Drosophila melanogaster: one gene and its partners. The protein of the gene in region 2 interacts with the protein of the main gene of each other region in a pairwise test. Each region holds a gene or a part of one and is shown on either strand. Other genes may lie near its edges. The genes, in order: CG7970, CG6398, Golgin84 and CG10510.

Evidence for each region.
Region 1: the proteins of CG6398 (region 2) and CG7970 interact in a two-hybrid assay, tested with the Drosophila melanogaster proteins (one large-scale study listed by BioGRID).
Region 3: the proteins of CG6398 (region 2) and Golgin84 interact in a two-hybrid assay, tested with the Drosophila melanogaster proteins (one large-scale study listed by BioGRID).
Region 4: the proteins of CG6398 (region 2) and CG10510 interact in a two-hybrid assay, tested with the Drosophila melanogaster proteins (one large-scale study listed by BioGRID).

The regions. Positions count from the first base shown.
Region 1 is NT_037436.4:1,651,198-1,654,786, reverse strand, and holds CG7970 (uncharacterized protein), read right to left. Parts: upstream 1,988-3,589; 5' UTR 1,912-1,987; coding exon 1,744-1,911; intron 1,657-1,743; exon of another isoform or gene 1,646-1,656; coding exon 1,533-1,645; intron 1,471-1,532; coding exon 1,212-1,470; intron 1,153-1,211; coding exon 925-1,152; 3' UTR 549-924; downstream 1-548. Other genes in the region: Srrm234 (Serine-arginine repetitive matrix 2/3/4), read left to right, coding at 61-226; Vta1 (vesicle trafficking 1), read left to right, coding at 1,988-2,097, 2,159-2,220, 2,305-2,455, 2,523-3,150.
Region 2 is NC_004354.4:17,828,975-17,833,843, reverse strand, and holds the start of CG6398 (uncharacterized protein), read right to left. Parts: upstream 3,017-4,869; 5' UTR 2,524-3,016; coding exon 2,398-2,523; intron 1-2,397.
Region 3 is NT_033777.3:24,355,536-24,359,722, forward strand, and holds Golgin84 (Golgin-84), read right to left. Parts: upstream 2,404-4,187; 5' UTR 2,342-2,403; coding exon 1,006-2,341; intron 951-1,005; coding exon 736-950; 3' UTR 535-735; downstream 1-534. Other genes in the region: CG6454 (uncharacterized protein), read left to right, coding at 1-118, 181-243; CG18528 (uncharacterized protein), read right to left, coding at 2,676-3,662, 3,719-4,024. UniProt on the Drosophila melanogaster protein: May be involved in maintaining Golgi structure and in intra-Golgi transport.
Region 4 is NT_037436.4:21,207,600-21,211,935, forward strand, and holds CG10510 (uncharacterized protein), read right to left. Parts: upstream 2,486-4,336; 5' UTR 2,396-2,485; coding exon 2,225-2,395; intron 2,075-2,224; coding exon 1,199-2,074; intron 1,144-1,198; coding exon 619-1,143; 3' UTR 549-618; downstream 1-548. Other genes in the region: CG10508 (uncharacterized protein), read left to right, coding at 3,132-3,205.

The DNA of each region.
Region 1 (3,589 bases), on a different chromosome or scaffold from region 2:
CCCTTTGGTTTTTAAGCTTGCTACACGAATCCCATACTAATCTATTCATTATGCTTTCAGCGCTCGCAAGCGACCGATTCCCTATCACCACAAGGCGAACGCCGAGGGCGAGGTGGAGGATGCCTCTAGTTGCTGCTCCAGTTGCTTTAGCCGCGCCAGCAGTCCTGCCACGCCCCTTCTCACGCCCCTGCGCAACAGCCGGAGTCCGTCGATGGCCGCCTTCTGAGTGTTAACCGCGTCGCTGCGCAGGATGTGCGGCGAGTCTTGAGGCACAGGTGCCCCCCACAATCATCACCATCATCGTAGTCACCTCCTCTAGTCAGAATCCTAGTTTTAAGATAGTTGTTATGCGCATTTAACTTGTTTTACACTGCATTCCGTAGCCCTAAGTTAGTCATCTGCCCATGAATTTACTAGCGAAATTATATTGTAGCGCCGATAAAAAGCCAATAATTCTCGTTTGTAAGCCTTTGCTCGATTATTTGCTAGTTCTAAGCTGCGTTTTAATAAAAAAAAAACAGACATTATTTGTTGCATCTCAAAAGGTTGCCTTGGAATTTCTCAAATTGGGATCCATTGTGCGCAATGGAAATGGGATGTTAGATCGACGATTGTCGCTACTTGTTAAGCATTTCTGTTGGCCAAATTTGGCCATGGATATCTAGATATCTTATACATTGTATATTAGTTTATTTTGGTAAGAAAAGTTTACAAAATTTAGGGTTTAAGGTATAACAACAGTCGGTTGATAAGGCGCCCCTCCAGTTAGTTTTAGCTTATCTAAAGTGTTCAAATACACACGGACTTTTTGCAATCCGCCGGAACGCGGGAAGATAAAGAACTTGAAGCAGTTCAGCCGTAATCTAAGCAGTAATTGGAATATTAGGCCAAGACGACTACCACAGGGTTTAAGGGTCGTATAGCCTATTTGGCTGCCTCTTTGGCGGCCAGCTTGTCCTGGAAGCGGCGACGCTTCTGGGCGATGTACACCACCCAGATGAAGGAGATGATGGCCATGCTGATGGACCGGAACATCGGGGGCACGTAGGCGAAGTTGAGGTACACGAACACGGACAGGTACTGCCAGTTGGCCTTCAGCAGAGGCCAGTAGAGCTTCTCAACATTCTTCAATGCAGTGCTGGGAGACTTGCCCTGTAAGGGATTACAAATTATAGTTCTAGGAACTGAGATTGCGGATTATGGATTCTCACCTCGAACAGGGCCAAGAAGAACAGGGACAGTGCCTGGTAAATCGGAGCATAGACCAGTCGCTCGGACAGGAACAGGAAGAATCTTCGGAAGCGCACATCCTGGCTGAAGAGTCGCTCCACCGTCGTGTAGAAGTAGTGCGGCACACTACCGCCGAAGATCAGTCCAAAGAGTCCGTAGGCGAATACGCTCTGCTGGTTGAGGGTCTTGGCGCCCGCCAAACGCTGGGAGGTGACATTAGCCGAGGTGGCCAGAACGCATCTGCAGTAAGGAGCAGCCGGTGGGTGAGGCGAACCGGATGATAAGGCGAATAGTGTACTTACGCCGTAATGGATTTGGTGCGGACCGGGTGGTTGAAGAGCTGCTCCAGATAAGTGCCGAAGAGCGAGTACAGGGGCTTGGAGAGAACCATGTTGCCGGTGGTGCAGAGATGTGCCTGGAATGTGACTGGTGTGAAGGATGCAGGTCAAAGTGCAAAGTGCAACTGGTCGCACTGATAACAGCGAAAACCAGTTCCCAGAGTCCAGTGCTTACCTGAGAAACTCCAAACGTTTTGGTCGCAGATTCGCAACTGAGCGCCGAACCAACAACTTTAGCCGAAGGTACAAACTTTAGTATTTCGCTAGTTCCAGAGTTTGGAACTGGGGTGGTTCCATGGCATTCGAGAAACTGCGATATCTGGTCACTCTGCGTGCTCGTCATTTCCATTGTTGTCGGCATAATTTTCCAGATCCGTAATTAAGCATAGAACTAAAGATTAAGCCCTCTTTCCACCACGATGGAGTTTCCGCCTTGTCCTCCCTCGCTGAAGTCCATCCAACACTTTCTGAAGCTGGCCCAGGAACATGATACCCGGGATGTGGTCATCGCCTACTGGGCGAGACTCTAGTGAGTATCTACAGATTAGTTTTTCTTGTTTTGCCCGTATTTACTCATCTTCCGAATCCAGTGCTCTCCAGGTGGGCCTCAAAGCCTCCACCCAAACGGGTGAAGAAACCAAACTGCTGCTGGGTGAGTGAAAAATCCGATACGCATATTACCAGCCTATGACTCATCCGTGGTTTGTTTTGTTTTGGTTTTCCCTACGACCGCCAGGCATCATGGACTGGCTGGAGCAGATGAAGAAACAGTATGCTGAGAACGAGGCCATCACCAACGAGGTGGCTGCCCAGGCACACATCGAGAACTACGCCTTGAAACTATTCCTGTACGCCGACAAACAGGATCGCGAGGAGAACTTCGGAAAGTGCGTTCCCTTCGTAGAAATACCCTGAATCGATTTTCCTGATTCATAAGATTGTGCTTCTTCGCAGAAACGTCGTTAAGGCCTTCTACTCCAGTGGTGTGCTCTACGACATTCTCCAGACCTTCGGTGAACTGAGCGAAGAGGCGCTGCACAACAGGAAGTACGCCAAGTGGAAGGCCGCCTACATCCACAATTGCCTGAAGAACGGTGAGACACCGATTCCCGGCCCCTTGCCAGACGACGACGATGAGGCGGAGCTCGAGGGGGAGAATGCCAACGCCTCGGCAGACACATCGCCGGAGGACGCCGCGGGAGCAGCTGCTCCAGCGCCCTACCAGCCGGAGCCTGACTCACAGCCACCAGCTCCATCATCACCGACAACTTCCGGAGTGGTCCCTCCCACCGCCGAGGAGGTGCTGAACAACCCGAACAAATTGCCCAGTCCACCGGTGGACGAGGAGAAGCCGGGCGGCTTTGTGCCCTACGTGCCCACAGCTCAGCCTAATCCGGCCACGGCGGCCACCATTTACCAGCCCATTGTGCCCGTGGCCGGGGTGCAAATCACTCCCGACCAAATGATTACCGCCCAGAAGTATTGCAAGTACGCCGGCAGTGCCCTCAACTACGACGACGTCAAGACAGCCATCGAGAACCTGCAGAAGGCCCTGAAGCTGCTGAGCACCGGGTCCGAGTAGGGCGTACACATCCACATTCACACGTATTTAGGAATCGCTTCCTTGGCACAGTTATAGCTTAGAGCACCAGTATAATGCCGCATAATCTCCTGCTAATCGCTCGTTTGAGGACGAAAGTAAAACGAAATTCAGATTGACTGACGTTGGATTATTAATTTTAAATATGTATGAGTTGTTCAAATTTATTAAAATTGTTTCTAAAGTCGTAATTTAAATGGTTCCGACTAAGTGCCCGTTACGAAGAGGATTTGATTACATTCTGGTTTGATCTGGTCGCGTCTACAGTTTAGTTAATATCTCTCGCCATTGCATACAATATAGTAGTTCTGTATACGATAATAATTTGGCACCAAAGTGAAAACATGAATTTCGATTTGCTAGAATGATGTGAATGAATTTGAGACCCGCAGACAGGGCGCGCCATCTCGAGCCCAACTTA
Region 2 (4,869 bases):
TTCAAGGAAAAGGGCAGCCTGCAGGCTAAGAAAAGGAAGAATTAAACTCTAAACAGTATGCAATCTAATGTACATATACCAACAAGACATACAATTAAAGATAATATAAGATATAGGGGTATTTAAAGGAAAGTAACAACACAGAGCTTCCTTTTCCACCATAATAGTTTCCATTTGACTTCTTTCGAAGAAAACATCTGTAATTAGCTAAAGAAAGGTTGGAAGTGATGATATTCTGACACCATCATCATGATTCCCTCGACTGACTCCCCCGGATTCCCATTCTTTGAGTAGCGCTCATAATCGCTGTGGGTATTTAGTTCTCCACTCCCCTGGGGATGCACTTCATAGGACCCTAGGGTTTCCTGTGGCCAAGTAGCCCATCTCGAGTTACCTGCTGCACCTGAGCGGTTCTTCAAAGGCTCTTACAGGGGCGGAAATCGAAGGAGAACGGAGATATGGAGATGGAGGAGATGGAGGTGGAGGAGGAGGAGGAACAAGAAACGTGGATGGGGAGAAGGGAGCGATGACCCAAAATGGGGGAGGTCAAGGCAGACGATTGCTTCTAATGGCTTTATAAGTGCCCAGGCTCTGAAGACTTCGACGCTGGGCGAGATTCGAACGAATCTCACCGCAATTATCGTTCCCTCGATTCCATTGAAACTTTCGGATTAGGCGACAAAGTCGAAAAACGTGCAAATATTTTCAGCACACTTTGAGTGCTTTTCTTCCTCTTCTTCAGCTTTGTTTTTTATTGTTTTTTTTTTTGTTTAGCTAACTTGTTTTGGTATGATTGGTATGCGCACGCACACCGCCGCGATTTTACACCTATTTCTATAGAGCTCTCCGCATCTAAAATTCTCTCGGCTGCACCTACAAGACGGAGTTGGATTTTCTACAGTGCCACTTCATTAAGACAAACTGCTGCTTATTTGAAAGAAATTAAAACACACATATGCTGCGATTGCTTTCGGCCCTTTAAGAGGCGGATTATAACTGAGATTTCAGTTAGCTAGTTGTATTTCATAAATAGTGAAGTAACCAACATAAAATTGAAAATTAGATTACTTGGAAGAATGGGAAGTGTTGTAATCCGCAGTTTGACTGTATTTGCAATGCAAACTGTAAAATTGTGTACTCCTTCCACTTCACCGCCCCTTTCTTCTTTTTCTGCGGCCTCTTCTGCCTGGGCTCTTCTTCGTTTTTTCGCTTGGCTAAGCGCTCGCGTAGAAAGTTTGAACGTTAACGGCCGTTGCCCATCCTCCACAGGCCCCTCTCGATCAACACCGCACCACTCCCTCCCTTCTTCCCTACCCACCTCCTTCCAATGCCAGTTGTTCGTGTATTTGCTTTCGACCTTTCTTCTTCTCCGCCTTGCCCTTTTTCTTTTTCTTTCGGCCAAGCACAAAACGAGCGACTGTTACTGTTACCTCCGTTTGTTGCTGTTGCCTTCGTGGTTGCCTCTCCGCTCCTCTCCTCCCTTTTCACCTACTCCTCCTCCTGCTTCTTTTTTCTCGCCCTCCTACTCCGCACAGTGGGCCGCGCACACCTGTATGCAGTGCACAAATGTCAGCAAGTGCATCTTAATTACATATCTTGTTTATCTAAGCATCGCTATAGATAAGATTCTCGGAAGAGGACGGATTTTAAAAGATATGCAAAGATGTTTGTAGAACTAAATGTCTCCTACTATTATTAGTAAAATATAATACACATTATTCTCTGGACATAGTCGAACGGGCTTAATTCCTTGGAAATTATGGAGATATTCGTTCCGGTTTTAATATTAATTAAGTATGAAAACTTTAATCCTTATCGTATTTATTTACTATGCTTCCAATGGCATTTGTGAAATGAAGCCACTTATTTTCAAAATATATTTAATAATATAATATAGTACTCTGCTATACTTTCCAGAAGACGAAGTCCTAAACTCTAGCAAGTTATTTTCAACAACTAATATCTATTGTATAAGTAGGGCCTAAATTAGGATATTTTCAATTTCCCTACCCATTTTAAATATTTCCATTGTATCGTACCATTATATCGTTGTCTTGCACGACTTTGAACCCGATCTTTTCCGATTTCTTAAGCTATTGCCTAATCCCAGCCTGGATCTACTTTAGCCACATCTCTGGGACCAATGTGCAGAGCTCGTAAGCGGAGCTAAAGCTCCGTCTTAAGCGGGAGAGTCTTCGGCTTTGGTTGTAACTCTGTCTCTGGCTGTGGCTTCTGCCACGCAGTCGCAGATGCACCGTATATTTCGGTGGCGCTGGCTCTGGCCTTAGCTGATTATGTATTCCAAGCGGATGGGCCTTGGGTTAATTCGATTCGTAGCCCCCACCTTCTCTGGCACTGAAGACTAAAGACACTGTAGACTGCAGATTGAAGACTCACCTGTATCTGGTTGCGCCAGACATCGTAGTGCAGCCAATTATCCGTGGAGAAGGCGATCGCCAGCAGGGCGGTGGCGATGATCGCGCAGATCGTCGCTATAGATAGGGTTACGGCCGAGCAGGGCATGCTGGTGTTTTATTCCGGATCTGTTTCGAAATCTCAGCTATTTTGGGGCTATGATACGGGATTTATCCAACGAAAATCCCCGAGAAGAAAACAACAACTACAGTTGCTATTATTTTTCTTTCGTTTCGTGATCTCTAGCGTCTTCGACGTCTTCTTCTTCCGCAGCTAGATTCTGCCGCTTCTTCTTGAACTGCTACTGCTGCTGCACAAATACACAGTTAAAAGAGCAGCAACCAGTTTGGAAGGCACAGCAAAAAAAAAGCCAACGTTCGTTAAAAAAAATAATAATTTTAGCAACGGGCCAGCACTAACACACTGACACGGGCTCCACTGCACACGCTCACAACACTACACACACACACACGCACGCCGGCGAAGAATCTGAGCTGGAGAATTGAGAACGGAGAACTGAGAATCTGAATCTGGGCAGCAAAGAGACGGAGAACTGATAGCCAAGACGTTGTGATCGCAACAACGTTCGCCAGCGGACTGAAAATCGTCGGCGACTGAGCCAGACTTCAGGTAATACCAAATACCCATATACCATACCCATACCCATACCCATAGTCTCAAGTCGCAGTCGGCGTCTCAGTCGGCGTTTCATTTGAGCGCTTTGCAATGCAACCGGACTGAGGGGGGAGGAGAGTTAGGAGCAGGAGGCAAGGAGACGGTGCCTCTTCTACCTGCTGGATAAAGCAAAAACAAGAAAGGAGAGACTGTTTCGGCAAACGAACCATGGAATACCCTCACAGAATGCTTATATCTCTGCCAATTTGAGGCGAACTTGATATGATCTTTCATAAGCTCATTATACATTTATGTACGAAGTTTCAGATTTTCATATTCGATAACGTAAGATTTGTGTTAATTGTGACTTTATGTTAACGCATCTACAAAACCCAACACTGGATAATCCAGATAACAAAACGCGATGATAGACAAGGCAAATCATGATATCCCGTAAACACATATGCCCAGTTGAGATTTGCAGAAATAACGTTAGATATATAAGAGCTAGTAACCTTTTGTTAGGGTATACGAAAGGCAAACAACAACAAAGCAGCAGCCTGTTGATCTTTTCGTATGTTTGTTTGGTATTTGGTATGCGGTGCTGCCTGTGCAATGGAGTCCCAGTCCCACTGGGCAGGAAGGTAGGACGCGAGGCACACAGCCACATGGGCGTAGGCGGTGGGCTGGAACTCGAAGGGGGCGTTCGAAGGGGTGTGCTGGTGCTCCCATATCTCGACCGTATCGCAGTTATGCCACGCCAGATCGTAACTCTGTCAAAACTGAGCCACATATTTTATTAGCAAGATATTGGAATCAGGCTCCTAAAAACAAATACCCATTACACTGAAGGATCATAATTGGAGTTTCTGCGGAATGTGAATATCATTATTTGACACGTCAATATCATTGCCTGCACACCCATTTAAACGGTTTTGTTTTTGAGCCTGAATAAACATGCATGAATTTGCCTATATCTAAAATGGTTCATTTGAAAATCGACTTGTAAGAACAATGCGTCCAGCTGATAGAGAGTCATTAACTTCTGGGGCGAGAATTTTTTGTATATTCAAATGCCTAATCTGAAATTCCGCCCACATGAGTGCGATTAGTTCGGCCTTTTCCACCGCCCGCTGCTAATCAGGGCGCAGCCGATTTCTCGCAGTGTGCAATTGACCCAAAGATGCTGCGACTGCGCAGGTAAAAAATATATACACACAGACATCTCGTGTACGGACATATCCATATAGAGATAGGTGTTTGTGTTTGTGCGGCATTGGCATCTCGCTGCGTCTACTTGCTGTTGTTGTTGTTGATTTTCATCGGCTTTAATGCCTTTGTCTATTTTGGGTTTCTGTTTATGGCGTGGGTTTTTCTCAATTGCATTTTTGGGCGCGCTCTCGACTGCAGCAGCAAAAGCACAGTGGCGGGCAGAGAGATAGCAGCGTTTAAGAAATTAAGAAATATGCATATAGAAAATCGCCTAAAAACTGAAAGAATTTAATACCCTAAAGAGGTGCTGTTTGATTCATTTTTAAATGTATAAATTGGATACGCTTTGCTATTATTTTGTCCTATTTTTCATCTTTAACGTGATACACATTGATTATATTAGTTCTAGACCATGAAATTCCCAAATTTTAAAGACGTACGCTTTAAATGTACCATGTTAATTAGTTATTCTCTGGCAAAATGTAACAAAATTGGAAACTACCATATTGACGGGCATTGTAAGTGTCGTATGTGTGAGTGTGGAAATACCAGAATTACCTAAATAACAACAAGAATAGCCGTGCACTTATAAAGCAATGTTTGTAATCGGATCGCATTGGCATGTTG
Region 3 (4,187 bases), on a different chromosome or scaffold from region 2:
CTTCATTACCGAACTGTTGGCTGTGGTGAGAGCACACATCGCTTCGCTGGGCGGAAATGCCATGGTCTCTTTTTACATCACCGAACTTATGTTGTTCGATAATCAGCACAAGAATCAGGTAAGGCAAACACAATGATCTACTTACCTTAAAGTTTTTATACTGAAATCTTGTATTCTTAGGGCCAGTGCCTGATTAGCATCGGAGGCGATGCTGTCTATGTGAGCTACCATGCCGATGACTGATATAAAAACTTGCGGGGCATATAGCGCATGTTTTACGCGAATCGTCCCAAAAGCGTATACTCTCTATTTTCTTCCGCTTAGCTAGAACTATCAGCTCTGCCCAGCAACTGGAGTTAAACTGAAGTTAAACTAATTCACGTTTACTTAACAATTTTACAGCATCTGTAGATGGATTCTTTATGCAATATTTGAACTGTGAGGAATCGTTCTAATCCTAACTTAGTAGTGCTAATTTTTTCGGTCTTGTTACTTGTTTGCTGGATGTTTTTAGCGTTAAATCAATTGCAATTTCTGTACATAGTTGATGTTTATTGAATATTGAATTTAGAACGAGTGCGAGACACAAGTATAATATCGATATATACAATTGTTGCAACCACAAACATGACACATATACTCGTACCACTAGATATCCAATTTTGGCGCGTAAAATACAATACATACAATATTATGGAAATACAACAATTGCTCAACTAAATGTATTTGATTCGATTAGTTTGGTGTAGTGGAGAGCAGCACAAACATGACCCACAGATGTAGTAGGGCCACGTAGACGATCACAGAGACCCGCATCATGGGATAGCGACGCAGAAACGTTCCCACCCGAATACCCATGGAGTCCGCCTGGCGAAGGGCTCGCTTGAAGCGTCGTGCCACACGATTATCGAATGGACTTGGATGCATGAGAAGCGGGAATTGTGCTTTGACTAGGTAGAACTCATATTTATGTAATTTCTGGTACTCGCAGAATGTTAGACTTACCATCATCTGTGCTGTTGAGCATAGTATGGCGGGAGCTGCCCCTTTGGCTCTCCATTTCCACCAAGTGCATGTTTTGCTGTAGCTGCGTCTGTGCCTTTTCGTGCTGTAGTCGCAGGGCATTTCTCTCACTCGTAACTCTTTCCAGAAGACTTTGACGTTCGACCAGTGATTGGGTTAAAGCCTTTAGCCGAGTCTCGTAATCGCTCTTGGCTCCCGTGTTGGCTTCCTCGCTCAATCGCTGACGCATCTGCTGAAGCTGCTGCTCCCGCTCCTGGAGTCGAGTGGCGGCAGCAGCCATTTGGTTACTAAGTTGCTGCCGCAGTGAGGCCAGTTCCTGCGTGAGCACTCGCTGATCGGATTCGGAGGTCACACTGTGTTCCCTTGCCTGTCGCAACTCCTTTGCTAGTGTTTCCTCGCGTTGGCGGGCAGAGCTTAGTTCCACCTGTCGTTGTCTTTCCTGGGAAACGTAATCGTCCAGCTGCAAGCGCGCCTTTTGCAGTTCCTCGTTGGCATGCTCTAGTTCTTGCTTAAGTGACTCGTGTTCAATTTGCAGAAAACGCGTTTCACTGTCCTTGGACACCAGGTTTGGATCTGCGCCCTCCTCCGTGGGCTTCGCCTTCAACTCTGCGATGAGGGAATCCTTTGCTTGCAGAGCTCGCTGAGCCTTGATACGGTATTCCTGAAGCTCCTGGCGCTGCTGCTCCGTTTCCTTTGTTTGCATTTGCAATTTGTGAGCGGCGCTTATGTATTCCTGCTGCAACTTGGCCAGATTGGTTTCCAGTTCGGAGATGGAGTGCACATACGCCATGTTAGCTGCCTGGGCCTCATTGTAGTCATGAACCGCCTTGTCCCGCTCTTCGGACAGACTTTTAACCAGAGCTTCCAGCACCTGGGTGTGTTGATGCAGATCAAACTTTTCGGTTTCGTTATTAAGATCTTCCAAGCGCAGACGCAGTTCATCTCTTTCGGCCGTGATTTCATTCAGGGCGATCTTGAAGGCAGCCAATTCATTTGTGTCCATTGAGTTGGCGGATATGTCGGGACTGTTGGAGAAACTGGCCGACGTGGTCATCTTTTGGCGCATGTCCTTAGTGACCACGGAGACCCCGCCATCGCTTTTTACACTTGATGAGCTATTGGCCCCCGAGCGCCGCACTGGCGACAGAGTGGACTTCAGGGATGTGGACAGTGATTGGGTGCTGCTCGTCATGCTCCTACGCATGGGATCCGCTGAACCTGTGGCGTTCTCTGTCTGCAGGGCCGTTGCCGCATTTTGGTCCAGCTTGTTCAAAATGTTTTCGGCCTTGTCCGCCAGTCCTGTGATCCAGGATGACATATTTTTCTAAGAAAAACAAATCTCTTCGAGTAAAACACGTAAACAATATCACACTGTGTGCCCATATCGCTATCGACTGCGGAATGGTCAACTCCAAAGTTAAGGTCACTCTAAAAGTAACGTAATTTTGAAAAACCTTTTTTCTGATCAAAAAAATATTTATATGAAAATGTAAGGATTGGTTTTAGAAATAAATGTAATTCCAATCTTTCTTATCCGTGCAGAAATGTTAATTTATTATGCTTATCAAAACTCTAGGGTACAAATGAATATTTTATTCAATACTCAACATGGGCAGTGTAATCTTCGCAACTCACAACTATAAACTATCTCTTCACTTTCCAATGCAAAAGTCCTTGAAGACCACGTCGAGTATATCTTCGCAGCTGATGTGTCCGGTGATGCGTTCGATGCAGCGCACGGAGTTGCGCAGCTTGGAGGCGGCTATGGCCATGTCCGGGTAAACGTCGGGTCTGTAATCTCGTAGAAAAATATCAATGTTCTCAATGCAGCGCTCCAGTTGCTGACGGTAGCGTGTGTTTGTGATGCGTGGATTCTCCGCCCGCGGTTCTCCGCACAGTTCTTGCAGCTGCTTCTCCAGTGATCCCAGAAACACGGGCATCTTATCGGGCTTATGGCATGATATGGCTAACACGTTGGACAGCTTGTCCAGCTGCTGATGCTCCTCATCCGTCAAAGTGTCGGTTTTATTGGCCACCAATTGCAGACGTTTCCCTGAGCACATGTCCAGAGGTATATCCAACTCGCCCAGATAGCTATCTACAAACGGAGCAACTGCGTCGTCGTGCGTCAGCTGTGCAATGTTCTTGGCTTCTGCTAGGAGCAATATCAAATCAGATTGGACTAGACAATTCTTGGCTCTCTGCATTCCCTCCTGCTCTATACTATCCGTAGTATATCGGCGTAATCCGGCTGTGTCGGAAAATACCACCGGGTATCCTCCGAAATTGTGCATTGTTTCTATAATATCCCTTGTGGTGCCCGCCTGATCCGTCACTATGGACACGGATCGCTGGCAGAGGAGATTGAGCAGACTACTCTTGCCAACATTGGGTGCTCCAATGATCACAGTGCGGACTCCGTCGCGGAGGAGCTCTCCCTGCCGCTGGTCACTCAAATGCTCGCGAATCTCACGCTTTACCGCCTTTAGTTCTTTGCCGAGTTGCAGGATGATGCCGCCTTCGATTTGCTCCTCTTCGGCGAAGTCTATGTAGGCCTCCAAATGGGCAGCACAGCGAATAAGTCGACGGCGCCAGTTGTCGTAGAGTCGAGCCAGTGCTCCAGTGCTTTGTAGCAGTGCCTGGAGAAAGAAGAGACTTGAAACAAAATTTATGAGACCCTAAGTCCACTGTCTACCTGCTTTCTTTGCGCCTCCGTTTCAGCATGGATAAGATCGGCCAATCCCTCCACCTCTGTCAAATCCAGTTTGCCACCAAAGAACGCTCTCTTTGTGAACTCTCCCGGCTCCGCCGGCCGCAATCCATCCACTTTTCCCAGAGCATCCAACATGGCCGCAATGACTGCCAGGGACCCGTGTACCTGAAACTCGCAGGAATCCTCGCCAGTGAAAGAAGCCGGTCCCGGAAACCAAAGTAAGAGCCCACGGTCAATCATCTCTTTGCTGGCGGGATGGTAGAAGGATTTCAGATACGCCTGACGAGCCTATATGGAAAAGTATTTATAAAGGGAACTATAAGTTTCACTATCATAGAGGTCTCTCGTCTTAAAACCTGGCAGCTTGCCAATTATAACAAATTAAGCAGTTCACGAAATTATTCAATTTATTTAGTCAATTATATGTAAGTTAGGAGAAATTTGTTTATTT
Region 4 (4,336 bases), on a different chromosome or scaffold from region 2:
AAAGAACTGGTGGACTTACACTAGGGAGTCAAGCATACCCATTGCCATATGTTGAAGACGCCTCTGCATTTTGATGGACCAAAGCACTACAGTAACACTTTACACTGAGAGAAATATTGATATTTGCAACAGTTAGATTAGATTGCACTGGTGCTGAACTAAAGCTAGTTACATATCTCCATGTTGCACTTAAAACATATTTCTAGTCTCCTAAGAGTCTGTCGTTGCTCCTATTATTTAGTTTTTAACTACGCAAGCTTTCTTATTAACTAAAAACATGAGCTTCGGCATTCTTTTAGGGAATTAGCAATATTTAGTAGAGTAAAGACTTGCAGTTTGCAAAATAATATACATAAGTAGAAGTACAGCTAAATTTCTGTTTAAAACAAAAACTATCTGTTTTAAAATATATTGATTTTGGCACTTTGAGATACCCATGCTGTGTTCAGCAATTTCAAAACTATTAAAATAAACAATATACTCTTCGATAATCAAATATTTGTCTTTATAGCATTTTTTCTTGCGATTGCAAACAAGGTAAATATATTAATTTAACTATTATTCAATTTAATTGAGCTCATTTTTATATTTAAACATAACTTTGAATGCCACATATTTTCAAAAGTCCAGAATCACCTCATTCAAAGTGGCTTCGGCCTCCCACTTGGCCTCCTTGTGTGCCGTCGGTGAATGCACGACCTTTCTGGACTTGAATTCCTGGCACTTTGTCTCGAAAAGTTTGGGTGGCATGGGTTGAGTTGGCGATGAAACATGCATGGCGGTTCGCAGCTCTTCCGGATCCTCGGTGACACTCATGGATTTGATAAAGTCGATCAGGCGCTGATTGTCCTCAGTGAGGCGACGCTTCTCCTCCAGCATCAGCAGGTTTTGAGCTTCGGCCATCGCCTGGCGGCGCCAGAAGTTCCTGAGACTTTTGTTTAGCTCCACGAGTTCCTCCTCGGTCATGTCCACGTGATCTTTCAGGTTGAGAGTCTGCAGCTTGAAGTATTCATCGACATCCACCTCGGTTTCGTCGAATACCTCGCCGCCGAGGATTACCTTTTCCGATTCGGTTTGCAGTTTCCTGCAAGTGATCGACAGGGCCAAGAGTAATTCCCCACTTTTCACGTGCTTCTCCATTTGCTGGAATAATATTTCAATTTAGAAATGGGTAATAGGGCTTGGGACAAAGGTTCACCTTGGTCAACTCGTAGCACTCGCCGGTCAGGATGCGCAACTTCTCGTGCGTGATCTCGCGATCCATCTCCTGGTTGAGCTCAATCTTCTTGCGCACGTTGGTGAAGTACTGGAACTCCAGGCGAAGATCGTTGAGCGTGGAGTTGTTCTCCGCATCCATGCGAACCATTTCGCGCTGCAGTTCCGCCTGCATGTTGATGTACTTGGACTCCTCGGCGTTTAGCTTGCGTGACTCCTCCATGAAAGCCGCCTGCCGCTCCGTCAGCCAGTGGATCTTCTCGTACTTGTGGGCATCCAGTTCGGTGCTCCTCAGCGACTCCACGAAGTCGTTCAGTTGCTGCTGCATGTGCGTCATCCGGCGGACAATCTGATCTCGAATCTTAAATCTGTTCTCAATCTCCGTATTCACGCGATCGTCGCGCTGCTCCAGGTAGATAGTGTAATCCTCCTTCAGCTGATCCCGGGTGGTGATGTTGGTGGCATGGATTATGTTCTCGGAGTTCGTTTTCATGGCTTCCACCTCTTCGGTGCGCCGGCGCACCTCTTCATAGTAATCCCTCAGCATCTCGTCAGCCTGCTGGTCATACATGCTCTTCACCCCGCCCAACATCACGTGGAAGCAGTCGCGAATGTGATCAATCAGCTCCACCGTTTTGCTGTAGCAACGCACGTGCTGATCCTGCGTCTGCGCCATGTCGTCCAGAAGCATCTTGATGTGGTCGTTCTTGGCCTGAATGTTACGTTCCGAGCGCTCGCCCCAAGCCCTCATCTCCTCGTTTAGCTCCTTGATCTTGATTTCGCGGCACATCTCGTGCCACTCCTCGTTGCCTTTCTCCTCCATATGCTTGCCCATCTCCAGCTCGCGCATCAGGGCATCCTGAGAGGATCATGGCGCAACATTAGAAATGATGCGTTTACAATTTTAATATAGTCTTAATATATTATTTTTATTATAAAAATTAATAATATTAAGGATTTGCTTAGGTTCATCCTTAATAAAAACTCTGCGAAAGTTAGTTGAACCCACCCGCATGATGAGCCGCTTCTCCTCGATCATAGCCAGTCGCTTGGCCTCTTTCTTGGCGGCCTTCTTCTGAGCCTTGGTTAGTTTGGGCGGTCCTTGTGGCTCCGGCTCCTCCTCCAGTTCTTGGAGGTAGTTTTCCGAAACACGCGTCAAGCGTGCCAAGATTTCGGCCATTTTGCCGATGTGTAGTTGTAGCTGAACTAAATGCGTAAATCAAAGGTGAAATTTTTGGAAAATTGACGGGGGAGCTAAATTCGAATTGTGTGCCTGTTTGAAAGCTGAATCGAAGTTTGGCGCACAGCTTTCGACGGGCAAATTCCAACACTGGATACCAGCTTTTTTAACGACTATTCGCACAGCATCTGAAGCTTTAACGCCCGCCACTGATTTCCTCAGTTGACTCTCAAAGCTTGGCTCGCGAGGTTGTTTATAGCGTCGCGACTCCAGGATTCCCCAAAAACGATTCCTTTCCGGGTAGCTAAAGCCTGGCTGGCTTGCTTACTAACGGCACGCCACATCGAACTGTGTGTGTGTGAGCGTGTGTATCTGTGTGTTGCGGTCCTTTTTCCCGGCAGGCAGTGCCTTGTAAACAAAAATAACTCTGCTGCCGAGGAGAGGTTGCCATCGAGGGTGGTTACAACCCCCAAATCTGAAACATCCGACGACAAAGGCAACTACAAAGCTCCGCGCAGGATAAGTGGCAAGGGCACTCCTGCCTGCCAACTTTTCGGGGTTGCAGACAGTCGGCAAACAAGCTGCGAATGCGACTTTAAACGTCCATAAACATTCAGGCAGAAAACGAAAATAATAAAACGACGGTCGTTCGGTTTAACTGGGCATCGAAGCGCCTCGCATCTGCAAGTGCAATTGTTACTGTATCTGCATCTGTATCTATTCGTGAGCGGTGAAAATGAGCGAATCCGGTGGCTATCAGAAAATGCCGCCCGGCTGGGACTGCAAATACGATCAAGCAACTGGAAATTGGTGAGTTGCATGTGCACAGCCCGACGTCATAAATATTTATGCATCCATTAACCACAATGTCGTGAAATGCGGACTGTACTGGGAGATGTGGTGGCCAGTTGTGGGATATAGGGGTTCCATTTGATAGGTTGCCACGGGGGCAACTGATAAATTTGCGTGCCAACGTCGCTTGGGGTGGCTCTTTCGGTGGGCGAAGGATTATGGTTGGGTGTGTGGTTGTGGGTGTATGTAGGGGGCCTTGGGGGCGTAAGTCGCTTACTTTAAAATGATTGGGTGGTAGGCGTCCGGTTGAGGTGGTGTTTGCCATGTTTGGCCTTATAGTGATAAGGAAATTATTCGTTAGTTCGGTGGCTTGCAGAACTTAGTTTTGAAACACCTTTGGTATTTAAACTCTTAGGACGCAAGCTCGGTACTAATTTAAATTATTCATTTAACACACAATGGAACGAAGTACAAGCTTGGATTGGATATTGGCTAACTTTTCTTCAGCTTATAATCGAAAGAACTTTCTAACATAAAATTTTCAAAATGTTTTATGTTTGAAGAAAATGTTTTAATTTAAATTTAAATTATTATTACTGATACGCAAAACAATTTTACTGAACTCTAAAGACCCAGCGTGTGGGTACCATGTGGTTCCCTATGGGCTACTTAGCTTAGTGCTCCTTAGCCACTCCAATTGGCCTCGTTTCAGCGGCATAAATTGTGTCACTTCCGCGTCGTCGGATGCCAGCGGGGTCTTTAACATCTCCTTAGCCTATCATACATATATACATATAACTTAACCCCTTATGCTTAAAAAGCCATGTGCAATTAAGCAACATACGTTGTCATACGTTAATTCAAGAGGCCACTCAACCGAAGACGAGCTTTCCATCCTCACGACGTCCTCGTCGACATCCACCCTCTCCATTCCGAAAATCAGAGCAGAGATGGCCTGTCAAACGACGATGAAAATGACGACTGTGCGTCCGCCTTTTGGCAGCTACTTGGCACGTGCCTTGGTTTAGGCGGTTCCTTCACCCTTTACCTGTCCGTCCTCCCAAGGGACCATCAACATGTGGGGAGAATCCCAAACCAATCCACTCCAATCCAGTCCACCACCAACCGGCCGGCTTTAGGATGTGCCTC